Oryctolagus cuniculus: one gene and its partners. The main gene of each other region encodes a partner of the protein of the gene in region 2 in a complex. Links are inferred from orthologs where the notes say so. Each region holds a gene or a part of one and is shown on either strand. Other genes may lie near its edges.

Evidence for each region.
Region 1: the proteins of GPR161 (region 2) and GNAS are in contact, whole or in part, in a cryo-EM structure (PDB 8SMV), measured with the Homo sapiens proteins. The link is inferred for Oryctolagus cuniculus from reciprocal best matches to the Homo sapiens genes GPR161 and GNAS. Residues at the interface, in NP_001254539.1 of Homo sapiens: Arg125, Ala128, Val129, Leu130, Pro132, Met133, Met137, Ile211, Val214, Ala215, Lys218, Ala219, Lys267, Ala268, Thr271, Ile272, Trp327; in NP_000507.1 of Homo sapiens: His41, Lys216, Val217, Phe219, Phe376, Cys379, Arg380, Asp381, Ile383, Gln384, Arg385, His387, Leu388, Tyr391, Glu392, Leu393, Leu394.
Region 3: the proteins of GPR161 (region 2) and GNAL are in contact, whole or in part, in a cryo-EM structure (PDB 8KH4), measured with the Homo sapiens proteins. The link is inferred for Oryctolagus cuniculus from reciprocal best matches to the Homo sapiens genes GPR161 and GNAL. Residues at the interface, in NP_001254539.1 of Homo sapiens: Arg125, Ala128, Val129, Leu130, Pro132, Met133, Tyr135, Pro136, Met137, Ile139, Ile211, Val214, Ala215, Lys218, Ala219, Lys267, Ala268, Thr271, Trp327, Asn328, Lys329, Arg332; in NP_001135811.1 of Homo sapiens: Ala41, His43, Lys203, Val204, Phe206, Phe363, Cys366, Arg367, Asp368, Ile370, Gln371, Arg372, His374, Leu375, Gln377, Tyr378, Glu379, Leu380, Leu381.

The regions. Positions count from the first base shown.
Region 1 is NC_091442.1:3,426,355-3,430,580, forward strand, and holds the start of GNAS (guanine nucleotide-binding protein G(s) subunit alpha isoforms XLas), read right to left. Parts: upstream 2,801-4,226; 5' UTR 2,786-2,800; coding exon 898-2,785; intron 1-897. UniProt on the Homo sapiens protein: Guanine nucleotide-binding proteins (G proteins) function as transducers in numerous signaling pathways controlled by G protein-coupled receptors (GPCRs).
Region 2 is NC_091438.1:30,613,292-30,623,995, forward strand, and holds the start of GPR161 (G-protein coupled receptor 161), read left to right. Parts: upstream 1-4,927; 5' UTR 4,928-5,145; coding exon 5,146-5,152; intron 5,153-5,209; exon of another isoform or gene 5,210-5,371; intron 5,372-5,490; exon of another isoform or gene 5,491-5,638; intron 5,639-6,020; exon of another isoform or gene 6,021-6,145; intron 6,146-10,704. UniProt on the Homo sapiens protein: Key negative regulator of Shh signaling, which promotes the processing of GLI3 into GLI3R during neural tube development.
Region 3 is NC_091441.1:68,764,777-68,775,507, reverse strand, and holds the start of GNAL (guanine nucleotide-binding protein G(olf) subunit alpha), read right to left. Parts: upstream 5,894-10,731; 5' UTR 1,367-5,893; coding exon 973-1,366; intron 1-972. UniProt on the Homo sapiens protein: Guanine nucleotide-binding protein (G protein) involved as transducer in olfactory signal transduction controlled by G protein-coupled receptors (GPCRs).

The DNA of each region.
Region 1 (4,226 bases), on a different chromosome or scaffold from region 2:
AGCAGGCTAGATGTCCTCCATCCCCCACCCCAGCCACTTCCCATCCCCCTCCAGGTGAGTGTGCTTGTGCGCAATGCTGAAATCCAGTGTGCAGCCCCAATGCCCCAGATACCTGTGCTGCGTGTCTGGTTTTTCAACTGTAAAGGCGGGAGGGTTTGGCGAACGAATGAGAAGTGAGGAAACACTTAGCGCACAGGGAGAAAGAGAGAAAGACACAGAGGAACAAGGTTACCGAGGCGCCCCCCCGGGCCGGTGGCCCAGCCGGGTTCCGCCGCGGAGTGCCGGCGCACAGGTGTCATACGAGTGTGCAGACGCGCAAAGTTTCAGCCCGCGCCATGGCGCGCATCACGACAGCCCGTCCCCAAGTACAAGTACACGGTCGGCGGGTAATCCGGGGATGGGGGGGTTGCCGGGGATGGGGAACACTTGAGCGTGTCATGCACAGGCGGACACAGAGAATACGCACACCGACACACACCAACGACAAGCTGGCCGAGAACAAGCCGTGCCAGGCGAGGCGGGGGCGCGCCTTCCCCGATGGCCCTAGCCCACCGCGGCCCCAACAAACCTAAGCCGGCGGAGAGTGGGCGCCCCTTTCCGGCAGTTCCCGGCTCACCTGAAGCCCCCGCCTGTCCAGCTTACGGTCGCTGGCGCTGGCCTGTCCAGCCGGAAACGACCCTCAGTGTCGCTCGGCACCACTTTTCTCCCTGGAGGGCACACACCTCGGCCACCCGAACCCGCCCCAGCTCCCCTCCCGCGCCCGGGGCAAAGTTAGGGTCCCTCCGTGGAACTTCCTGGCCGTGCCCCCTCCTCCCGCGGCCGAGCCCCGCGCCCCGCGCCCCCTCCCCGGTCCCCGGCGGGGCTGCTGCCCCTGGGCAGAGTCCGCCGCCGCGTTACCTAGAAGCAGCAGGCGGTGAGTGCACATGTAGCCCATCTTCTCGGCCTGCAGCTGCTTGTCGATGAGCCTGCTGCGTTTCTTCTCGGCGCGCTTCTGGGCGCGCTTCTCCATGGCCTCCCTGCGCATCTGTCGGCGCTTCTCTGCCAGAGAAACCTTCTTGGCCTTGCTGGGGCTCGCGGGCTTGGGCTGGGGGCTCTCAGATCGACCACCGAAGCAGCCCCCGAAAGCCTGCACGAGGAAGTTGCGGAGCAAGTTGCGCCGGGGCTTGCGGCGGCGGCGTGTGCGGCGCTGGAACCAGTGGAAGCAGCCGGCGGCCCGCTCTTCGGACTCGTCCCCGCTGGAGGAGTCGGCGTCGCCGCTGGTCGACCCCTCGTCGTCGTAGCGGCGGCGGCTTCGGCCGCGCTCAGCTCTGCCCCGCCAGGCAGCCGCGCGAGCAGGCCGCGGAGTAGGCGGGTCAGCAGCCTGGATCTCGGGGCTGGGGGGTCTGAGCAGATGGAGCCTGCGTCTGGCCCCGGAGGCAGGCGCGGCGGGGGCTGCCTGGGGGGCCCCGGCGGCTGCGGCGTGCTCGGCCGGGGCACCAGGGGCTCCACCGGCGGCAGGGGCTGCCCCGGCATCAGGAGCGGCTGCGGCGCCGGGGGCTGCGCGGGTGTCGGCGTCGGCTTCGGCATCGGCCGGGGCTGCCCCGGCGGCCGCAGTGCCAGGAGCGGCCGGGGCTCCCCCGGCTTCGGGCTCCGCCGGGGCGGCGGGAGCGGCTCCGGCGGCGGGAGCGGCCCCAGCTGGGGCGCCCGAGGCTCCGTCCCCCGGAGAGGGGACTTCTCCTTTCTCCGCAGAGGCGCTGACCGAGCCTCCTTCCATCTCGGCTGCTTCACCCTCAACTGGGGGTCTCTCGCCGCGCTCCCTCTTATCTGGGGCTCCGGAGACCTTGATGGGCGGGCCATCACTCGCGATTGGGGGGCTGTCCATGCTGACGGGAGCGTCGTCGACCCCGACGGGGGCGCTGCGCATCTCGAGCGGGGGTCCGGCGATCTCCATCGGGGGGCTGGCGCCCGCGAAGTTAGCAGCAGCTCTGACAGCCTCTGGGACCCAGAGGGGTGGCGCGTCGGTGGCGGGAGCGAGGCAGACCGCACTCGGGACCGCGATTGCCGCGCTGCTGCCACCGTCGCCGTTGGCAACTTGTGGGAGCGCTCGGGGGAGCCCGGGGGGTGGGCTGTCGTCCCCAAAGGCCTCTCCATCAAGCTGAAATGGCATAGCCTCCTCGGGGGGAGGGCTATAGCCTCCTCCAAGGCCAGCGCTGGCAGGCCTGAGCGCCCCGGACTTCCCGGGAGGAGCTCCAGGGACCCCCAGGTCTGTGCCACCGGGAGCGAGGTCGGGGACCCCCGATGCTGGCTGGCTGCAGCCTCCCTGGCCAGCAGGCTCCTCGAACTCAAAGGGCATGGCTTCTTCTGGTGGGGGGCTGTAGCCTCCCAGGCCAGGCCCGGCACTGCCCGAGACTCCGGGATCCACAGAGGCCTCGAGGCCTGCGATGGGCCCTGGGGTGGGCCAGAAGCCTCCCACGCTGGGCTGCTGGACCTCAAAAGGCATGGCTTCCTCGGGAGGTGGGCTGTAGCCTCCATCGCCTCCGAATTCCTGGTCAGCTGCCACGGCGAGGCCCTCCAGGGTGCCCCCGGAGACCTCAGGGGGTTCACAGGCCTCGGCGCCAGCCTGTGCGGGGACGGGCTCGCTGGCAGGCGGCTGGGTCTCCATCTCTTCGGCTGGGCCAGGCCCAGCACCGGGGGCAGCTGGCCCTGGGGCCTCCAAGGCTGGCTGTGGAGGCTGCTCCCCGACTTCAGGGGGGAGATGGCGTTGTCCTGACATATTATTGCCGTCGAGGCAGTAGCGCAGGCCCATAACACGGTGGCGGCCTCTTACAATGATGTGGGGGCTCCGTGAGACGGAGCACCCAACCGAACTAGGGTGAAAAAAATTATTTGAAAGGAAGAAAGAAAAAAGTACCAGCTGGGAAGTTCTGCGGCCTCACTTCCCGAGCGCACTCAGGGCCTAGAACCCCAGACCATGGCCAAGGCAGTGCAGTTCTGGCTGGTGAAGTCTTGGCTCCTTCCTGGCCACTGGTGATTCCCTCAGGCCCCCACCCGGCCTGCTCGGCCTTCGTCCCCTCCTCTCTCTCTCTCTCTCTCTCTCTCTCTCTCTGCTCCAGGCCAACACAGACTGCTTGGATTTGAGGAGCGTGCCGATTCGGTCCGAAAATCGCCAGTCGCGCGCTCTCTCTGCCACCAGAGGACGCAGGTCCCGGTGCCAAGCTGGTTCCCTGCACCGCCGGCCCGGCTTTGGGTAAGGGGCTGGCGAGCGCAGGCCTCGCAGGGACGTTTGGGCTCCTTCCACGCCTCTCCCTGACTGATTTGGAGCCTTTCTCCTCGCTTCTCCCCTTGGCCACACAAAGCTCTCCTGCGTTGCGAGCGAGACACGTGACACAAGACGTGGGCCTCGGGATGCTGGAGAACAGGAGCAGAATCGCTCCCTCCCCGCCCGCGCCGACTCTCCTCGGGGGGCGGGGGACTGCAGAGGGCTTTCTTTTTCTTCCTTCACCCCAGGATACCCCTGCACCCCTGCGCCGAAGCCCCTAGCCCCAGATCTCGAGCCAAGCGTAAGGCTCTAGATGCCCGGGGACAGTGGCGTGCGCGCGCGGGAATGCGACAGGTGGTCGTGAGCCCACCGGAAGGGCAGGGAGGAGGATGAGGAGCGAGGGGGGCTGTCGAGAGCGAGCGCACAGTTTGTTTTGTAAAACGCCTTGGGTACACTTGCCGCGGTCCGCCGTGGCGAGGCACTTTAGCATCGCCCACCCCCGTGGCTCCTGGGGTCTCCGCAGTGGCCGTGGGCGGCGCAGTAAGGGGTCCCTCTGTTTTTGTGGACAATGATGCGACGCAATATGGGGGTCTCCTGACTGCACCATGGAGAACCAAGCCAAGCCCCCCGCCTCCCCGCAGTGTAGCGGCCGCGGCGGCACGGAATGGGGGTCGCGGGACACGCTGGGGAGCCGAGCCCCACGGGGCGCAGGTCTCAGAGCGCCACACATCCTTCCGCTCTGGGGAAGATTTCGGCTGCGGGGTTTATGGCTGGTTTGGGGGTGGTCTCGGAGACCGCACAACCCCGTGCGCGCGGAACCCGCAAACACCGCACCAACAGCAGCCGAGGCGCGCGGCATCTGCCTCCGGCCCCGGCCGCAGGGCGGGTCCGTCATCCCGCAGCCCCCAGCGCCACGCCAGGACCGTCCCCAGGCAGTCGCTTTACTTTTCCGCTGCTAGCCCGCAGAAGCTGCGGCAAGCGCAGCCAC
Region 2 (10,704 bases):
TTTATGTATTTATTTGAAAGGCAGAAAGGTGGGGGGGCTTCCATCCACTGGTTCATTATCCAAATGGCTGCAACAGCCAGAGCTGGGCCGACCTGAAGCCAGGAGACAAGAGCTTCTTCTGGGTCTCTCATGTGGGTGCAGGGGCCCAAGGATTTAAAACATGTTCTGCTGCTTTCCCAGGTGCATTAGCAGGGAGCTGGATTGGAACTGGAAAAGCCGGGACTTGAACCCGAGCCCATGTGGGATGGCGGCACTGCAGGCGGTGGCTTTACTTGCTACAGCACAGCACCAGCCCCTAGAACATTTTCATCACTGCCAAAAGAAACCTGTGCCATTGACAGTCACTCCTGATACCCACTCCACCCCAGCCTTAGGCACTTACTAACCTACTTTCTGTCTCCATAGAAAGATCCATCCTGGATATTGTATATGAATGACATCATCGTCTAAGTGACTTTTGTGTCTGGCTTTCAGTCAGCACATTTTTTCAAGGCTCATCCCCGTGGCAGCGTGTGTCAGTACTTCATTTTTCTGATCAGACACTATTCTCCTGTATGGGTGTGCCACATTTTACTTATCTACTCTGCAATTGATGGACTTTTGGGTTGTTTCCCATTTTTGGGCTATTTGTGAGTAATGCTCCTGTGAACATTTGTATACAGGTTTGAGTGTGGTTATAAATTATTAACTCTCTTGGGCATATGACCTACAAGTAGAATTACTGGGTCATAAGCTAAATTTATGTTTCACATTTTGAGGGACTGCCAAATTGCTTTGTAAAGTGGCTGCACAGTTTTACATACCAACCAGCAATGTACAACGTTTTAATTTCTAAAGACTCCCGCCACATTTGTGATTGCTTTTTGATTATAGCCGTCCCAGCTTGTGTGAATTGGAATCGTGTTGTTTTGATATGTATTTCCCCAATGGCTATGCTATTGGGAAGCTTTGCTTGTACTTAGTGGCTATGTGCATGTCTTCTTTGGAGAAATGCCTACTCAGATCCTTTGCTCATTCTTTAAATGGATTATTAAGTTTTTTTTTTTTTTATCATTGAGTTGTAGGAGTTCTTTGTATGTTCTGGCTAGAAGTCTTCTTTTTTAAGATTTATTTATTTATTTGAAAGTCAGAGTTACACAGAGAAGAGAGAGAGAGAGAGAGAGAGAGAGAGAGAGGTCTTCTATCTGCTGGTTCACTCCCCAATTGGCTGCAGTGGCCGGAGCTGTGCCAATCCAAAGCCAGGAGTCAGGAGCTTCTTCCAGATTTCCCATGTGAGTACAGGGGCCCAAGCACTTGGGCCATCTTCTACTGCTTTCCCAGGCCATAGCAGAGAGCTGGATTGGAAGTGAAGCAGCTGAGTCTCGAACCAGTGTCCATATGGGATGCTGGCACTGTAGGCGGTGGCTTTACTTGCTAAGCCACAGCACCAGCCCCTGGCTAGAAGTGTTGTAACAGATTGTGAAGACTACAAAATCCATTCTGTGAGTGGTCTTTTCCCTTTTTTGATAGCATCATGGGAAGGAATCAGTTCTCAACACATCACACTTTGAACCTCAAACTCATCAAAGTTCTGTATTTATTAGTTGGACTTTTAGTCTGGTGTCTAAGAAAACTCCAAGATACTCTTTTATTTCCCAAAGTTCGAGAAGCCAGAAGCTGCTGAAGACATACTTTATTTATTTTGATTTGTCCTCAATTTATTTAAGAACACATTTTCTTGGGGAGTGGTTAGCCTAGTGGTTAGCATGCTGAGTGAAATTCCTGCATCCCATATTGGAGTGTCTGAGTTTGATAAACTGCTCCGATTCCTGACTCCAGCTTCCTGCTCAGCAGACCCTAGGAGGCAGTGATGATGGCTGGAGTTATTGGGTTCCTCCAACCCACACGGGAGATCTGGATTATGTTCCCTGTTCCTGGCTTTGGCCAGGCCCAGTCCTTACCATTGAGGGCATCTGGGGAGTGGACTAGTGGATAGCATTGCTGTGTGTGTATGTGTGAGTGTGTGTGTGTGAATGTGTATGTTTGTGTGTGAGAGTGTGTGTGTGTGTGTGTCTTTGCCTCTAACACAAGTTTTATGGTGTTAGGCTGTGATTCTATTTTGGTAAATTAAAAAGTCCATGACATTCACTCCATGAGGGTCTCTGCCTTCATGGAGTTTACCACGAGGGACATCCTGTAAACAAATGGGAAAAAAAGATATAAATTGGGATGCATTTTATATGGAAAAGGAACAGGGAGGTAAGGGAGAGATTAGTCAGGAAGACTTCTCTGAGGAGGTGGCATTGAAGCTGAGACATGAGGGCAAGGACTCGGCCTGCGCAGAACAGGGCAGTAACACTCCGCGTGGGACAGAGAACACACTGAACCATTTTGCCTTTACTAGTTTTATGTGGGATGCTGAATTGAAGTGATATTTTATATAAAAGATATCTCAGCATATGTTGACTCTTCAATCAGCATTCAGGATTTGGTTGGAAGAGACCTCTCATTATCTTACTGCGGAAGTCTTCGGGGAAATCTTATAAAAGAATGGCTTATGAAACTGATTTGGAAAAGGAGAATTTTGTATCTTTCTCTTCTTTTGCAAAAACAAATTAAATGTTTGCACAAAATCAATGTCATGTTTTTCACTAGATTGTTCCCTATATGATGATAAATAGCGAGACATTACTTTAACAATTGTTCTGTTTTCTCTGCATCTGACCGAATACTGCTCATAGCTCAATATCAGCTGTAGGAGGGAAAAAAAAATCTTAAGAGGGTAATTGAAAAATGCATTTGTTGGCAGTAATTTCTACTCCTAAATGTACAGTAAGTTCCGAGCTTACGAGCAATGGGAAACAAAAAACCTTTGCAATAAATAATATATTTGATAATGAACATGAGGAAAAATGCTTTCCATTGAAGAGTTCAAGTTGAGAGGGACTAAGTATGGGAAAAGACCACTCAACAAGGACAGCTTTTGCATTAGGATGCAGGCGGAACTGAGAGAGCTATAGTTGGTTTTGGTTCTCACTCCTCCCATGCTGGTCTAGGGCACATATTTTCAGACCTACCTTCCTTCCTTCCTTCCTTCCTTCCTTCCTTCCTTCCTTCCTTCCTTCCTTCAAAGAAAGAGTTCATGCTTCTCTTTTTTATTTATTTTTTATTTTTATTTGACAGATAGAGTTAGATAGTGAGAGAGAAAGAGAGAAAGGTCTTCCTTCTGTTGGTTCACCCCCCAAATGGCCGCTACGGCCAGAGCTGCGCCAATCCGAAGGCAGGAGCCAGGTGCTTCTCCTGGTCTCCCATGGGGTGCAGGGCCCAAGCACTTGGGCCATCCTCTACTGCCTTCCTGGGCCACAGCAGAGAGCTGGACTGGAAGAGGAGCAACCAGGACTAGAACCCGGTGCCCATATGGGATGCCGGCACCGCAGGCAGAGGATTAATCAAGTGAGCCATGGCGCCGACCCTCTTACTTTCTTTTTAAAAATATTTATTTATTTGAAAATCAGAATGACACAGAAAGAGAAAAAGGGAGAGAGATCCTCCATCTACTTGTTCTCGTGCCAAACGGCCTCATCAGCCAGGGATGGGCCAGGCCAAAGCCAGGAGCCCCTGGAACTCCTTCCTGGTCTCCTACGTGGGTTGCAGGGACCTAAGTACTTGGACCTCATCTGCTGGCTTCCAAGGCACATTAGCAGAGCAGCCGGGACTCGAACCAGTGCTCTAAGGGTGCCCATGTCCCAGACCTTTCTTGAACGCCAGTTTTCAAAGCTTGGTTCTCAGATTCTGTGACCATGGGTGATTACTTTACAGTGTTTCACTAACCCTTTTATCCCTCCCTCCCTTTTAAAAAATATTTATTTATTTGACTTGAGTTACAGAAAGAGAGGGAGGGACACAGAGAGAGGTCTTCCATCCACGGGTTCACTCCCCAGATGGCTGCAACAGCTGGAGCTGGGCCAGGCCAAAGCCAGAAGTCGGGAGCTTCATTGTTACCCAGTTTTCCTACCTAGGTGCAGGGATCCAAGCCCTCGGGCCATCTTCCACTGCTTTCTCAGGCTCATTAGCAGGAAGTTGGATCAGAAGTGGAGCAGCCAGGACTCGAACCAGCATCTGAATGGGTTGCTGGCTTCGTAGGCCGCAGGTTTACCTACCACACCATAACGCCGCCCCCTCGCTCACCCTTTTCAGTTCTACAGGTGGGAATGAGTATCCGCATTTTATATACAAGGGGCTTCAAAAAATTTGTGGAAAATCAAAATTAAAAGATGATGTGTATTTTCCATGAAGTTTTTGAAGCCCCCATCCTATGAGTAAGCTGAGCCTCAGAAAGGTTAACTAACTTTCTCAAGGTCACAGAGCTTAGCCGGTGTCTGAGCCAGGGTAAATAACCAGAGACTTCAGAATAATCGCGAAAACACTCTGGAGAGCAACCTGCTCTAAGCTACTGCTAGCACTGCGCATGCCGGGTCCCGAGATGCTCAGGGGAGCTGTATAGCTCTCAGTTTTGCCCAAACAGAGCATCGGTCTCATGGGAACATTCAGGCACCGGTTCGTTCACAGTCTCCTTCCCCAATATCTCTTGTCCCTGGAAGCAATCTGGGTTCTTGGCAGGTGCTAGACAGCAAATTATTTCTCCTAATGGTGCCTCAGTGGCCTCATCATAATAAGGACCAGCTCCCACAGTGTCAGTCTGTAGACAAGGGAGTTGTTAATGCATTCATCAACAGATGGATTTCGGAGGAATTCAAATCCTACCCTGAGCAAAGCATCAGTGTTTCCGTTTGTTTTTTTTACTGTTGGGAGCTGGACTTAATAACTTCCTACCTGATCCTCTCTGCTGCCCTGTTTGTCTTCTCTTCCTTTTTAAAAAGCACTTTTCTTGTTTCCATGAACTTTTCGTCGCCGTATGAAGGCTGCTGCATGGCAAACCAGGAGGCTGGGGACGAGGCACAGAAAGTGGGGAGGACCCGGTGCTGTCCCCTGAGCGGCGGAGCCCTGCTCCGGGTGTCGTCACGACCGCTCCCCGGCCTGCGCCTGGTTCGCACGAGTGCACAGCAGCGTGGTGAAAACCCTGCTCACACCCACTGCCCACTCCCGCGGCCGCCTCGCGGTGCCCTTCGCAGGGCCCAGGACCGTGCAGGGCGCCCGGCTGGATGAATGAAAGGTGAGCAGCGCGGCGAGCCAGGAGCAGCCCGCGGCGGGACCCAGGCAGCAGGCGAGCGGGAGCGCGCGGAGCCCCACGCCTGTGTGCGATGCACGGGGACCGTCCCAGCGGCGGGAAGCGGGGCGAAGCAGCGCGGACACGGAGGGAAGGCCCCGGCAGGGACCACAAAGCCTTGCAGGAACCCGGGGGCGAGACAAAGAGCGGCGGCCGAGGCCGACGGTGGGAAGCATCGAAAAGTGGCCGGGACGAGGGCGGACGCGGAGGCAGGGGCGCGCGGGGCGGGCTGCGGGCGCCGAGCAGGGGGCGGGCGGCGCGCAGGGGCGGGCGCCTCAAAGTTGCTCGGCCTGCGCCGGCCGGGCCGAGGCGGGCTCGGCGGCTGAAACCCGAAACCTCCCGGCCCCGAGCGCGGCGGGAGGAAGGAAGCGGCGGCGGCGGCGGCGGCCGAGGCGGGGAGGCGGCCCGGCCGGGCCCTGGGCTGCGGCGGCGGTGAGCGGCTGGCCGGGGGGGCGCAGGCCGCGGGGCGCGCTCGGGGATGGAGCGGGGCTGAGTTCATTGTGCGGGGCGGGCGGGCGAGGGCCGCGGGCCGGGGAGGGTCTCCGCGCCCCCTCCCCCACGCCGCCCCGCCCCCACGGTGCGTCTCGGCTCCCTTGCGCCCCTCGAGGAGCCGGGGGTGGGGTGGGGGGGCTGTTTTTCCGGCCGCGGCGCGCCTCGCCTTGGAGAGCTGGGGCTCTTTGTGGGGGAGATTTTGGGGACACGCCCCTCCCTGGCGTGCAGAGGCTTCTCGGAAGCCCACCCCATTCTGCCGGGTGCAACCTGCTCCATTTCAGGCGCCGCCCAAAGCCCCAGCCCCATACCTACCCCCCCCCCCCGGAAAGGAGAGCATCCGTGCGTGCCCGGGACACAGCCGACGGGCACCAAAGACTGCGCGGCCCCCTCTGGATAGGGGTGTGGGGGGAGAGCCCGCGACCCCGGGCTGCGATCGGCGAGCACCAGGTGAGCGACACTCTCCAGGCGGGACAACGCGCCCAGTCTCCCCGAGCCCGTCGGGAGGCGCGCCCCGAAGTCGCCGGGCGCCGCGGGGTGCGGCCCCTGCCCCTTGGATCTTGGAGAAGGGGAGGCTGTGACTTTGGCGGGGGGGGGGGGGTGGTTGCGGGGGTCGGAGAGGACTTGTCAGCCCCGGACGCCTGGCGGCCAGAGCTTACCCCTGGCGCAACCTTTGGACAAAGGCGTTTGGGATGAAAATGTTTGCAGGATGACTGGGGATGGTGTTGAGCGTTTCAGAGCGATCTGCTCGCCGGTAATAACCACACGGCCCTGGGCCGGCATCACTTGCCAGCACATCTTTGAGGCTATTTTTGTTCGTTATTGTTGTCTTTCATCCCTTTTGCAAACGTGCTTTCCAGAGCAGGTCTTTCCATCTTCCCTGGGTGGGGGGTGTGGTTTTGGAGGGAAAGGACCTAGGTCCCTGGATCTGTCCAATGGGGATACCGGGTGACCTCAGGGGAGCCTGTCTGAGCGTGCTGGGGCAAGTCAGCCGGCCATTTCTCCCCCTGGACCTCCACATGCGCTAGGAAGAGTTACTGCTTCCGAGAATGGGCGGCTGTCCTTAGAATCCATCCAGGTTACTGCAGCCACTGGGAGCAGGAGAAAAGACGCAATTCCCAGGCCCTCCGGGCAGAAGGGGGAGTGGGAGCATCCCCCTACCCCCCATGTATCTGGGTCGCTGCCACCTATCTTGTCCCTGCCGGGGTAGCCGTCTTCCTGTCCGGGTCCCCTCTTAACTTTATGCTTGGAAGGTGCTGGCAGCACTTTCGTATGCACTTTTGCATTTCGTTCTGACAACAGCGCAGGGAAGCGCTCTTAGCCCATTTGATAGACGGGGAAGCTGAGACGCTGTGAGAGACGTGGCGGTCTCTGCCCAGCTGCCCAGCCTGCAAGACTGGACTGAGGTCTTTGAGCAGGCAATGCTTTTCACATAGGAGCGAGTTTTAACTGAGGACCGTACAGCTTCACGGCACCCCTGCACCTTGTTGCAGTGAGACTAGGAACCCCCCTCCCCCATAATTTTGGAACTAGATCCCCGGCCTCAAGGACCCACATCACTTTGTGTTTGAGCCAGCCCAGTGTGCTGGGAGACTTCTGAGAGGCAGGCAGCACCGCGTTGCTGTGAGGGGTGTCAGCTCTCTGTTTGGGTTCTGTGGGAGATGGGATGGGCTGAACTGGAACTGACCTCAATGTCAGCAAAAGGAGTGCTGGCTGGGGCCAGCCTGGAAGGCAGTCGGGAAGAGGCGGGTGGGCAGGAGAGCCTGGCTGGGCGTGTGCAGAGTCCGTTTACAGAGCTGGTGTTCCTGTGAGGGAGGCAGCTGCAGGTGCAATGAGGCTGCAGTCCCTCGTGGCCTGATCTGAATTTTGGGGGAAGCTGTAAATTTTTATGGAAAAAAGTTCTATATTTTTAAAACCGTCAGCTAATTCAAAACATTCTTTTAAAAGATATGTGGGGGAACTGGGTTAGGAGTGCAGGCTGGTTGTGGACTATGGACTGTGTGGACTGGCGCTTTGGAACCTTTGTGTGGACCCTCAGAAGTTGTCGCTGTCATTGAGTGGCAGTAAAGCACCACTGGAGGCGAGGCGGGAGAGGCATCATTTTGGCAGTTTTGCTTTAAGAACAGCAAGCATCAACAAAGCAAGAGCGAGCCAGCAGGGCTACCTGGAGTTTGCAGTACGGCTTAACGGCACGATTCTGCACGTGGTTCGCACAGTTCTAGTCTCCTTTATGATTCGGGTCCTGCACTAGGAGATGGCTTGCACCGAGTTTTTGTGTGTTTCCTTCCATGGCGAGTGCTGGGGCATGAAGGAGGGAGTGTTCAGTCTGCCCAAGGGTAAACTGGGAGGAGGGAGACTGGAACTGTGTTTTGCTTTGAGTTGGTTTGAGACTGAAGTACTCGGGGAGTGAGCCCTGGGTGAACAGGGCAGTCTGAAGTTGATACCCTGCACCCCATCCCTGCTCCTTACAAACAAATGCCTTGGGTAAGCCATATAAAGCATGCCTGCAATATAGTCCTTTTTTAAAAAAATAAGAGCTGTTAAAAATGTTTAAAATATAGAAATACAAGGAAAGATATTAGGTCTCCCCTCACCCTACCATCCTCCTCACAGGTAACCAGTTTCCTGGTCTTTTTCAATGCCTAAATATATGCCTAGAAAATCTGGAAATATAGATGAATAGATAATGCATGGTTTGTTGCTACAATAGTATGGTATAGTATGTAGTGTTATAGTATAGTATTATAGTTGATATTCCAGTATATAGTTTTGTTGATATTATAGTATAGTTTGTTGATATTATAGTATACTATATAGACATAGCAAATATACAACATATATACTATACATATTTTCTGCATTTCCAACTTTAGGACCCATGTGAATATAGTGAATAGAGTTCAGTTAAATACCTAAGGGGGTGGGCATTGTTGTGCAAGTTAGGCTGCCCTTGCCATGCCCACATCCCATAGTGAAGTCCCTGAGTTCGAGTCCTGGCTCTGCTTCTGATCTGCTTTCCTGCTAATGCACACACTGGGAGGCAGCAGATGATGGTTCAAGTACTTATGTCCCTGCCACCCAGCTGGGAGGTCCGGACTGAATTCTGAACTCCTGCCTTCCTCTTGGCCCAGCCCCAACTGTTTCAGGCATTTAGGGAATGAACCCGTAGATGGAAGATTTCTCCCGTGCTCTCTCTCTCTGTTGCTCTGTTTTTTAAGTAGATGAAAATGAATAAATAAGCATTTAAAATTAAATGGGTAAATAAATAAAACTTACAAAACACACAGGGAGCAAGTGTTTAACCTAGCCCTGTCCCACATCAGAGTCCCTGGATTCGATTCTTGGCTCTGGCTGGTGACTGCAACTGTCTGCTGATACAGACCCGGGAGGCAGCAGCCGTGGTTCCCATGATCAGGTTCTTGTCACCTGTGTGGGAGACCCGCACTGCGTCTCCCATTCCTAGCCCAACCCCAGCCCCAGTTGCCAGTTGTTGTGGGCCTTCAGGGAATGAACCAGTGAATGGGTGCGGTCTCTCAAGTAAGTAATAATACATTCTTTTTTTTTTTTTTAAAACAGGCAGAGTGGATAGTGTGAGAGAGAGACAGAGAGAAAAGGTCTTCCTTTTTTGCCGTTGGTTCACTCTCCAGTGGCCGCCATGGCTGGTGTGCTGCGGCCGGCGCACTGTGCTGATCCGAAGGCAGGAGCCAGGTGCTTCTCCTGGTCTCCCATGGGGTGCAGGGCCCAAGCACTTGGGCCATCCTCCACTGCACTCCCTGGCCACAGCAGAGAGCTGGCCTGGAAGAGGGGCAACTGGGAAAGAATCCGGTGCCCTGACCGGGACTAGAACCTGGTGTGCCGGCGCTGCTAGGTGGAGGATTAGCCTAGTGATCCTCGGTGCTGGCCAATACATTCTTAAAATATGTAAATGAGCCGGCGCCTTGGCTCACTAGGCTAATCTTCCCTGCGGTGCCAGCACCACGGGTTCTAGTCCCAGTCGGGGCGCCGGATTCTGTCCCGGTTGCCCCTCTTCCAGGCCAGCTCTCTGCTGTGGCCCGGGAGTGCAGTGGAGGATGGCCCAAGTGCTTGGGCCCTGTACCCGCATGGGAGACCAGGAGAAGCACCTGGCTCCTGGCTTCGGATTGGCGCGGTGCGCCGGCCACAGTGCGCCGCCCGTAGCAGCCATTGAGGGGTGAACCAATGGAAAAGGAAGACCTCTCTCTTTGTCTCTCTCTTTCACTGTCCACTCTGCCTGTCAAAAAAATATGTAAATGGAGGTCAGGTACAATAATACTCTAAGGGTTTTTTTTTTTTTTTTTTGATTTAACAATATGACTCAGGAGTCTTTCATTATCAATTTCAGGTATATTTCCTTCTTTTTAATGGCTACATAGTATTTCGTAGTATAGATTCATTGTCCTGTATGTAAACATTCTCCCACTGATGAACTCTTGAATGTCTCTAACTTCATCTATCTGTGTATTTTTATTTGTATGAGTACCCGTGGAGAATTTCTGGATAAAATTACTCCCAGGAGGGTTGACTATTTGACACTGTAATTAAGTCCTGGCTTGGGATGCCTGCATCCCATCATGGAGTGCCTAGCTTTCAGTCCTGGCTCTGCTCTCCACTTGTTTCCTGCTAATGCCTTCTGGAAGGCAGCAGGTGGTACCTGTGTTCCTACCACTCTTGAGGAAGACCCAAATTGAGTTCTTGGCTCCTGACTTCAGACTGGCCCAGCTGTGGCTGTTTGCGGGCACTCGGGAGTGAACCAGCTGCTTGGGAGATCTTTCTCTGTCTGTGTGTCTCTTTGCCTTTCAAATAAATAAGACATAAAAAAATTTTAAAAAATTAAAAAATTAGTCCCAGAAGTGGAATTGGTAATTCATAGGGAATATACATTTTAAGCAGTTATTTAAGCAGAATTCTCTTTATTTGTTGAGGCCCAGGGAGTTGTGCAGAAAAAGAGATTGAGTTTATTTAAGTTTACTTGACTGGGGACAGGTAGTGTA
Region 3 (10,731 bases), on a different chromosome or scaffold from region 2:
ATGAGCAGGCTTCTTGCTCAAGTCACTTAACACTCTCCTTATGCACAGCTGGGCAACCTGGACCATTACCCTTCCTGCTATCCCACAAGATGGGTCAAAAGCCTCCATCTTATTTTTGTTCTCTTAAAACCTAAAAGCAACAAGTAGCGTCAGGAATTCATGCCTGTTTTCACCTTTTTCTACAGTACACACACCATGTTACTGGATCGTAGAAGCACAAGTAACACCTGCGAAAGCGAGGCTCAGAAAACACTAGCAGTGTGGGCCATTACTTTAAAATGCTGTGTGTGTGTGTGGGTGGGTGGGTGTACGCCCTCTTGTTTGCAGAATGCACAAGGGGCTGCCAGGCTCTTGGGCTGCCGGATCTCGGGAGGGACAAACATGCACACAGCACCGAGGCTGAACTTGCACAGAGAAACACAAGTGCCCCATCTTCAGCTGCTGACTTAATTTCTCAAAAGGCAACAAGCCACACCCACCGACAACTCTGCTGGAATAAAAGCTCTGTGGTTAAGCTAAAAGGCCTTCAAGGTCTTATAAATCTCATTTGTGTTCTTAGAGCGAACAGCAATGGCACTGCTACTGTGGCAGGAAATGAGACTCTGACCTGGACATCCCTGTGGGTCGTACACTATGGAAATCAGTCAATCGAAAAGGGGGACCTTTTCCAGACAGGCACACTCATTAGTAAGAGGCGAGCCACCCGGCCATCATCACAAGGCATGGACAAGAGCAAAACCACCGCGCAACGTGTCATTGGAGTGAATATTGTCGGGTTAAAAATGCTACCCAGAGTTTAAAGACCCCTGCCGGTTTTTACAATCAGCGTTTAAAGCCCTATTCCCGGGCTGCGATCGGTCGCCCATCCCCGCCCCTTCCCCCACCCCGAGATCCGCCACCCTTGCGACCCCTGCGGGCTGCGCGCGTCCCCGCCGTCCCCACGCCCGGCGAGGGCGCCCGCGCGGGACCTACCCAGCAGCAGCAGCCGGTGCGTCTGTTGCAGGTCGCGCTTCTGCTCGCGCAGCATGCGGTCGATGCCCCGGCTCACTTTCTTTGCCTCCCGCGCAGCCTCGCGCTCCTCGGCGCTCAGCTGGTCCCCGCGCCGCCTCTTCTCCTTCTGCGGGGCCGCTTTGGGCCGCGCGCACGCCGGGCTCCCACCGCCTGCCCGAGGGAGCAGGGTCCGGGCCGCGTCGCCCCCCGCCGCCTGCGCGGATGCTCGGGCGGGGACCAGGGCCAGGACCGGGGCCGGGGCCGGGGCCGGGGCGGGCGTCGGCCGCGCATCCTCCCCGGGCGGTTCCGAAGCCTCGCAGGGGGCTTCTTCGGGGCCGCCGAAGAGCAGCGGCCGCAGACTGTAGCACAGACCCATGTGGGCGTAGGGGACGCGCCGGACAGGGGGTCGAAGCGCCGAGGGCGGCTGGGTTCAGGCCGGGGTCCCCGCGGAGGGGCTCGAGGGGGCTGCTCTCGGACCCGGCGTGGTGCTGCGGTCCGCCGGCCGCGGGGCGGAGTTGCGGCGGGCCCCTGAGGGCCACGGCCCCTCACTGCCCCCGAGGGCCATTTTGCATTTTCCGTTGGGTGCCGGAGGTGGCGGTCGCCCGGGCTGGAGATCACCTGATGGCGCCGGGAGCTGACCGAGCCGACGGGCCTCGGCGAGCCCGGCCCCCGTTACCGTAAACCCCGCCGCCGCCCCAGCCCCGCTACAGTAAATACTGCCGCCCGGGCTGCATCTCGTTACCGTAAATATTGCGGCCTGGCCAGCCCTGTTACCGTAAGTACCGTCGCGCGTGCAAAACTCGGCTGCCGTAAATACCGCCGCGCGAGCCTGGCGCGCAGCTGCGGACAGTGGTGCAGTGGCGGTGCGGTCACCTCCTGGAGCCTTGGTTGCTGCCGTTAGAAACCACGGTGGCCTTGCTCTTGGTCGGATGCAGGGATAGAGACGCCGGCTTTAAGGCTTTCAGTTCCCCAATGCTGAGATCTCTGGGCCGTGCCCCTTTTCTGCTAACAACACATGCACGCTCGTCCACGCCCTCCTGATCCCTACTCAAACGCTACTACACAGTTGACTACAACAAAATCTCCAATGTAGAGGTTCACGGCACCGCTTTCAACACCCTCCAAGCTAACTTAAAACGTAAAAAGGGACACGTGTGTTTGTCGTGTGCTATTTGTACTCGTTAAAACGAGAATGTGAAGTTGCAACACCCAGGATAGTGCAGGGAGGCCCTTTCAGACCGGGGGACGCTCTCTCCAATCCTCTGCAGGTACAAACCCTCGCTCCCACCTCCTGCGTTCTTTCCTACTTCGTGCACATGCTACAGAGCAGTTCCAACAGGTGAATACCTCAGGATGGCTTTTAAGAAACTTGCTGTATCAGATGTTACATGGTTTCGAGGAAAATGATGTGGAATATTATAAATGATAAACATCTAAATTCCGTGGATATAGCAGATTAGGCCAGTGTCTAGCTATCATCTATCCATCCATCCATCCATCCATCCAATCTATAGAGAGAGATTCTCCAAAGAATAATGGTATTTATCTGGGAATAAAGGAGCAATGCCATAGGAATACATCTTCCAGAGTAAACATGAGCACAAACACATTGAGGCAAGGGGAAGTTTTTGAAGGCCAAAATGAGGAGACTGATGTGGAACATTTTGAAACAATAATCTTTGGCCGTGATTATGAGGGTGATGTCTGAGGTTGCACTGCTGGATGGATGTTAATGAGAAGTAGTTTGTGTGTGAGACTGTACTGGCCTCTGTTGTAATGCTGTAGTTCTGGCAGTCTTTTGTGATGGTTGCTATTAGGCTATTACATGTTCTTCATAACCTGATTTTATTTTTTTGTTAGGGTTGATACAGCGACTCTATTTTGATTCTCACAACTTAGAAATTCTTTTCAATAGCATGCTCTCAGTGTATGCTATCAGTTGGCAATTGGTATAAATATCACATTTGATTACTGAGAAAGAGAAATTGACCAAGATCTTCCATTCACAGGTTCTGTCCCCAAATATCCAAAGCTGCGTGGGCTAAGCTAGGTCAAACTCAGGAACTTGGCACTCCATCTGGGTCTCCCATGTGGGTGGCAGGACCCAAGTACTTGAGTCATCACCTGATGTTTTCCAGTGTGTCTGTTAGCAGGAAACCGGATCAGAAGCAGATTGAGGCCTTGAACCCAGTCACTCTGATATGGGATGTGAGTTTCCCAAGTGGTGTCTCAACTGCTGTGCTACACAGCCTGCCCCTGATTACATTTAAATAATAAGTTGAGGTCCAGTATTCACATTTCTTTTGGTGCCTTGTTAGTAACAAATACATATACTATGCAATGCTTTTGGCTTAACATTATCCAAAATATTTTACCAAAATTATGGTATACTTTTAGATATTTTCAGGGTAGAAGGCAGAGGGACTGTTTTAGTCAGTTTTTAGTTACTACAACAAAATTCCCAAGACATTGACTTTATTAAGAGGTGGATTTTGATGGTTCATGTTATGAGATCGAATAGGCCTTTTGGTTTGGCATCTGATGATAACTTTGTTGCTTTCAGAGTCTTGAGGTAGCACAGAGCATCACATGACAAGAGACAGGGAAAGTACACGTCTGTGTCTGTGTGTGTCTCCTACAGCCACCAGGATTTTTTTTTTTTTTTTTGACAGGCAGAGTGGACAGTGAGAGACACAGAGAGAGAAAGGTCTCTTTTGCCGTTGGTTCACTCTCCAATGGCCCCCGCGGCTAGCGCGCTGCGGCCGGCGCACCGCGCTGATCCAATGGCAGGAGCCAGGTACTTATCCTGGTCTCCCATGCGGGTGCAGGGCCCAAGGACTTGGGCCATCCTCCACTGCACTCCCTGGCCACAGCAGAGAGCTGGCCTGGAAGAGGGGCAACCGGGACAGAATCCGGCGCCCCGACCGGGACTAGAACCTGGTGTGCCGGCGCTGCAAGGCGGAGGATTAACCTAGTGAGCCGCGGCGCCGGCAACAGCCACCAGGATTTAATCATGGAGACATCATCTTAAAAGACCCAGTCCAATCCACCCATCTCCTAGAGACTCCAACTTCAAACATGGTAAATAGATTAGGTGAATACACTTTAAATGCTATGAAGTCATGACTTTGAAGCTTAAACTTCTGCATGAGTTTTGGGGACATATATTCAAGCCATAGTATTCTGCCTCTGGCCCCCTGAAACTCTTATCCTTCTCACATATGCACCTTTCCATACCCCTAAGTCCCAAAGTTTTGACTCAGTCCAGCATTAAAGTAAAATTTCAAAGTCCAAAATCTCACATTAGATTCAAGGCAAATTTCTCCAGTTGTGAGCCTGCAAAAAAATCTGAGTTACAAACATTTCCATTCCAAAAAGAGAAGTGGACAGGAAAATCGGAGGAATAATTGTCCAAAGCAAAACTGAAACTCAGTAGAGCAAATATTAAATACTGAAGTTTTATTTCTGGTAACTGGAACACATATCCAGGGCAGGGGCATAGGGGGAGCCCTGCCTGTGGCTTTGCTGATGTCACAGTCCACATGGCTGCTCTCTGAGGTTAGATGCAGACACCTGGGATTTTCAAGGTTGGTGTGGTATGTTACTGGTCGTTTTACCTCCCTGGGGTCTCCACATTGCGCATCCACTTCATCCCTATTGATACGGGCTAGGCAGGGAGTTAGTGAGGGACGAGGAGCTAAGTGGTTTTCAGCAGCCTCTGTGCCAATAGCCCTGTACCACTAAAAGCTCCCAAGCCATTAGCAGGGAGCTGGATCAGAAGTCGAGCAGCAGGAACTTGATGCTGGCATGGCAGGTGGAGGCTTGACCTTCAGCGCCAGCCACTGAAATCGTACATTATGCAAAACAAAAAAACAAACAACAATGAAGAAAAGTGACATTTAAAGACCTAGGGGTCAATATTGTCTGGTCACTAAGAGTGTAATTAGAGTCCTGGAAAGAGGAAAAAAGAAAATGGTGCAGAAACAATATTGGAAGAAATAGTGATCGTTGATTTCTGAAAATCAGTAAAAGACATTAACTTATAAATCCTAAAATTCAAAGAACATGAAGTAGGATAAGTATAAGGAAAATCACATTTAAATACATCAAGTAAAATTACTGAATTTTTGCAAATATAAAGAGAGAATTAGTAAAGTAGTCAAGGAGCCAGCACTGTGGCACAGCAGGTTAAGCTGTAGTAAGAAGAGAACAGTTATGAATGTGTGTACAGAATTTTGAAACACAGAACTTAAGAAAGAAGCAAACAAAGCCACAGTCCTAATTGGTTCTTGTAGCATGATGGCTCATTAACAGAAAAATCGGGAGGTTGGAATGGGGACAGGCATCTGGTACAACAGTTAAGACACTGCTTGGACACAAGTGTCCTGTATTGGAATGCCTGGTTCCAGTCCTGGCAAGTCTACTTCCCAGGCAGCTCGCTGCTGATGTGTACCCTTGAAGGCAGAAGGTGATGGCTCCAGTACTTGTAGGCAGCCTGGATGAAATTCTTGGCCATTGGCTTCAGCCTGGCCCAGCTCTGGCTGCTGTGGCCATTAGGAGAGTGAACCACCAGATGGAAGATCTCTCTCCATCTCTCCATCTGTCTCTCTGCCTTTTGAAGAAATAAAGATAATTTTAAAAAGCAATGCTCCTCCCAAGTTCATGTGGCATGTTCACACAGATACTGGGCCAGATGTCTCAATAAATTCTTTTTTTTTTTTTTTTTTTTGACAGGCAGAGTGGACCGTGGCCAGTGCACCGCGCTGATCCGATGGCAGGAGCCAGGTACTTCTCCTGGTCTCCCATGGGGTGCAGGGCCCAAGGACTTGGGCCATCCTCCACTGCACTCCCTGGCCACAGCAGAGAGCTGGCCTGGAAGAGGGGCAACCAGGACAGAATCCAGCGCCCCGACCGGGACTAGAACCCGGTGTGCCGGCGCTGCAAGGCAGAGGATTAGCCTACTGAGCCGCGGCGCCGGCCTCAATAAATTCTAAAATACTAAAAGTCTTACAGAGGATGCTGTTTGGCCACAATGGAATTAAACTAGAAAAATTTAAGTATCTAGGTTATCCCCAAATATATGGAAATCAAACAATAAGTTTCCAGCTAAACTGTGGTTTTAGGAATGAAAATCTTACCTATCAGAATTGGTGAGATGCAGCTAAAGCAGTTTTTAGGTGAATATTTGCAGCTTTAAATGCTTACATTAGGAAGGAAGAAAGGCTTAAAATCACTGATCTTAGTTTATACCCTGTGAATCTAGAAAAAGAAATTAAACACAAGATAAGTAGAAGAAAGGAAATAATGAAGAACAGGAACCAAGAGGAGTGAGGAAGGCACAACTGTCTTCTTTGAAAAGTCCAATAAAGTTAATAAATCTGTACTAAGAAATTAAAAACAAATTTAAGTTTATTTATACAATGGAATATTACTCTTGAATAAAGAGAAATGAACTAATAATGAATTTTACAACATAGATAAATCACACAGACATTATGCTGAGTGAAAAAAAAAAAAGCCACAGAAGAGTACATACTTCATATGTGAAGTTCTGGAGTAGAATTAATTCAAGTTGAAAAAAATAACAGTACTTGCCTCTGGAGCCTAGTATTGAATGAAAAGAATCGTGGCCGGCGCCGCGGCTCACTAGGCTAATCCTCTGCCTTGCAGCACCGGCACACCGAGTTCTAGTCCCGGTCAGGGCGCCGGATTCTGTCCCAGTTGCCCCTCTTCCAGGCTAGCTCTCTGCTGTGACCAGGGAGTGCAGTGGAGGATGGCCCAAGTCCTTGGGCCCTGCACCCCATGGGAGACCAGGAAAAGCACCTGGCTCCTGGCTCCTGCCATCGGATCAGCGTGGTGTGCCAGCCGCAGCGCGCCGGCCGCGGCGGCCATTGGAGGGTGAACCAACAGCAAAGGAAGACCTTTCTCTCTGTCTCTCTCTCACTTTCCACTCTGCCTGTCAAAAAAAAAAAAAAAAAAAAAAAAAGAGGGAGACGAAATATATTCAGTATTTGGTCTGAGTCAGCCATTTTTTTTTTTCCAAAAACGTACAACCTAAGATGTGTGCATTGCAACAGATGTAAATTTTATGTAAAACACCTAAAATTTAGTGGGGTGTGGGATGGCAGAAGAGTGGCAGAATGTTTATCATTGTTGAAGGTGAGGGATGGATACATTTGGGTTCATTATACTACTCTGTTCGCACATGTTTGAAAATTTCCACAGAACATTAGGAAATCATGAACTATATTTTAACCACTTTAAAAATGCAAACATACTGTGCAATTTTTTGATAATGCAAAATGTTGAAATTTTAGTGACCTGGAAAGTATTCTTGATAAACAAAGAAAAGCACATATAAAAACAACACTTTTTTTTTTTTTTAAAAAGATGTGGTTATTTATTTTGAAAGTCACAGTCATAGAGAGAGAGGGAGAGACAGAGAGATCTTCCATCCACTGGTTCAGTCCCCAGATGGCCACAAAGGCCATCGCTTAGCTAGGCCAAAGACAGGAGCTGGGAACTTCATCTGGGTCTCTCATGTGGGTAGCAGGGAACCAAGCAATCGGGCCATCTCCTGCTGCTTTATTCAGGCCATTAACAGAGAGCTGGATTGGAGTGGCGCAGGATCAGGGTTAGGGACACAAACCAGTGCCTATATGGAATGCCCATGCTTTGTGGGCAGAGTCTTAACCTGCTCTCACAACACCAGCCCTCAGATGGCACATTTTCTTGAAAAAGCATGTCAGTTTAGACACAGTCATTGAGAAATTGCTTTCTGAGTTATAAGCAGAGTTGTGTTTTTGTGGTGGAACTTTAGGGGACTTTTCTTTATGCTTTTTGCCCTAATTTCCAACCCTTTCCCTCATGAACAAGAATGACTTCATTATTATATTCATTATACTGATCTCCTGGGAGCCTTGCATATTGTTGATTCTAATCCAAGCTGTAGACAGTCTGGGCATTTGCCTATTTCCTGTCTCTGTCAGCGCAGAAGACGCTGAGAAGAACCTGAGACCAGAAGGGATCTTTGCTTCTTCTCTCCACCGGATTCCAGTGGCTGAGGGCTCAGACAGTGAACACACATCCAGGGAGTATGTACAGTGATTTCCTGGGATTCCACAAGAAGATGCAAGGACATCTCTAAAAGTTTGCATTTTTTAACTAGATCCTTTTAATATTTTTGTATGTTTTGTAACAATCATGCTGTGTCAAAGAATTGACAGATGACATTTGTTAAGGGTTGGGGCTGAGATATTTTTTCACTGATTGGGTGATCAATGTCGGGATGCTGATTTATCTGATGAGTGGTAGCCTGTGCCATTTGGAGAGTGTCCTTGGAAGACTTCAGAGGTAGGGACCATCTGGCCGGTGGGCTGTGCAAGTCCTGTGAAATCATTTGGCCTGACCTTGCCAAAGCAGCCACAGGAGGCTGTGGTGAATAAATATCCAATATCCAATAAATGTAATGCAAGCTAATATTTAAGTTGATAATTTTGTATTGCCCGTTGAACGATGTTCTAAATATCTAAATGGCCGTTGGCAGGAAAGGCTCTTCTCTCCTGCATCTAAGAAGGGTTCCCACCTGGGGAGTTGGAGTGGGTCTGTGTTGGGTGAGCTGGGAATGTATTTAGCTCCCAACACTGGGCACTGGAAGTAACAACTGACTGGCCTGGGCCAGACTGCTGCTCATGGCCAAGATGAGGCTGTGGTCATGAACACTGTCCTCAACCTGATTCAGAGCCCAGTGGACACCAGGGAGTCTTTGCTCTAAAATCACATAAATTAATCAGTTCAACAGCTTGCATTCTGATACTCCTTGGAAATTTTTGAATATGTAACATGTGATTGTGTATATACACCACATTGTGTCTGTTCATCCACTGAGGGACACCTAGGCTGAGTCCCCACCTTAACCACTGTGAACAGTGCTGCAATGAAACTTGGGGTTACGTTTGTTCTCCTGGGCACCCTGATCTCAATTCCTTTGGGTATATATCCAATTGTGGGATCACTACCATCAGATGCAGTTCTTTTTTTAAAAAATATTTATTTATTTGAAAGAGTTACACAGAGAGGAGAGAGGAGAGAGAGAGAGAGAGAGAGAGAGAGAGAGAGAGAGGTCTTCCATCCGCTGGTTCACCCCCCAATTGGCTGCAATGGCTGGAGCTGGGCTGATCTGAAGCCAGGAGCCAGGAGCTTCTTCCAGGTCTCCCACGTGGGTGTAGGGGCCCAAGGACTTGAGCCATCCTCTGCTGCTTTCCCAGGTCATAGCAGAGAGCTGGAAGGGAAATGGAGCATCAGGGACTTGAACCGGCACCCATATGGGATGCAGGCGCTTCAGGCCAGGGCGTTAACCTGCTGCACCACAGTACCAGCCTCAGGTGCAGTTCTAATTTTAGTTTACTAAGGGAACCCTATATGTATTGCATATTTCAAAACTGCTAGAAGAGTTATTTCTAAATGTTCTCACCACATACACAGAAAACAAATATATGAGATGATGCACATCCCATCTCAATCTAGAAACTTGATCATTTTTTTCCCTTACTCTCTTTCTAAGAAATCTCATCATCCAAGATAATGGTCTTATTTATTTTTATTTTTTTTTGACAGGCAGAGTGGACAGTGAGAGAGAGAGACAGAGAGAAAGGTCTTCCTTTGCTGTTGGTTCACCCTCCAATGGCCGCCGTGGCCGGCGTGCTGCGGCCGGCACACCACGCTGATCCGAAGGCAGGAGCCAGGTGCTTTTCCTGGTCTCCCATGGGGTGCAGGGCCCAAGGACTTGGGCCATCCTCCACTGTACTCCCTGGCCACAGCAGAGAGCTGGCCTGGAAGAGGGGCGACTGGGACAGAATCCGGTGCCCCGACCGGGACTAGAACCCGGTGTGCCGGCGCCGCTAGGTGGAGGATTAGCCTAGTGAGCCGTGGCGCCAGCCCCGATAATTGTCTTATAATAATTTTTCTTCTCCTCTCTTACTTTCTCCCTGGTTTTTTTTTTTTTTTTTTTTTTTTTTTTGACAGGCAGAGTGGACAGTGAGAGAGAGAGACAGAGAGAAAGGTCTTCCTTTGCCGTTGGTTCACCCTCCAATGGCCGCCGTGGCCGGCGTGCTGCGGCCGGCACACCGCGCTGATCCGATGGCAGGAGCCAGGAGCCAGAGCTCTCCCCTCTGCTGGTTCATTCCCCAAATGTCTGCAACAGCCAGGACTGGGCCAGGCCAAAGCCAGGATCCAGGAACTTCTTCCAGGTCTCCCATATGGGGGTCCAAGGACTCGGACCATCCTCTGCTGCCTTCCTAGGCACACCAGCAGAGAGTTGGATTGGAAGCAGAGCAGCCGGGACTTAAACCAGCATCCGTGTGGGATGCTGGCAGCTGCTTAACCCACTAAGCCACAATGAATCATATAATCTGTGGGCTTTTTGTGAGTGGTTTCTTTCACTTAGCACAGTGTTTTCGAAGTTCATCCATTTTGGATAGTGGATCAGTTCTTCATTCCTTTTTATTGCTAAATAACATTCCATTTGGGGTGAATGTTTGGCACAGTGGATAAGATGCTACTTGAGATGCCTGTGTCACATGCTGGAGTGCCTGGGTTCAAGTGCTGACTCTGCTTCTGCTTCTAGCTTCCTCCTAATGTGCCCCTGGGGACAGCAGGTGATGCCTCAAGTTGGTGGGTCCCTGGCATTCATGAGGGAGTTTCTGTTTCTGGGCTTTGGCCTGACCCAGCCCTTGTTGTTAC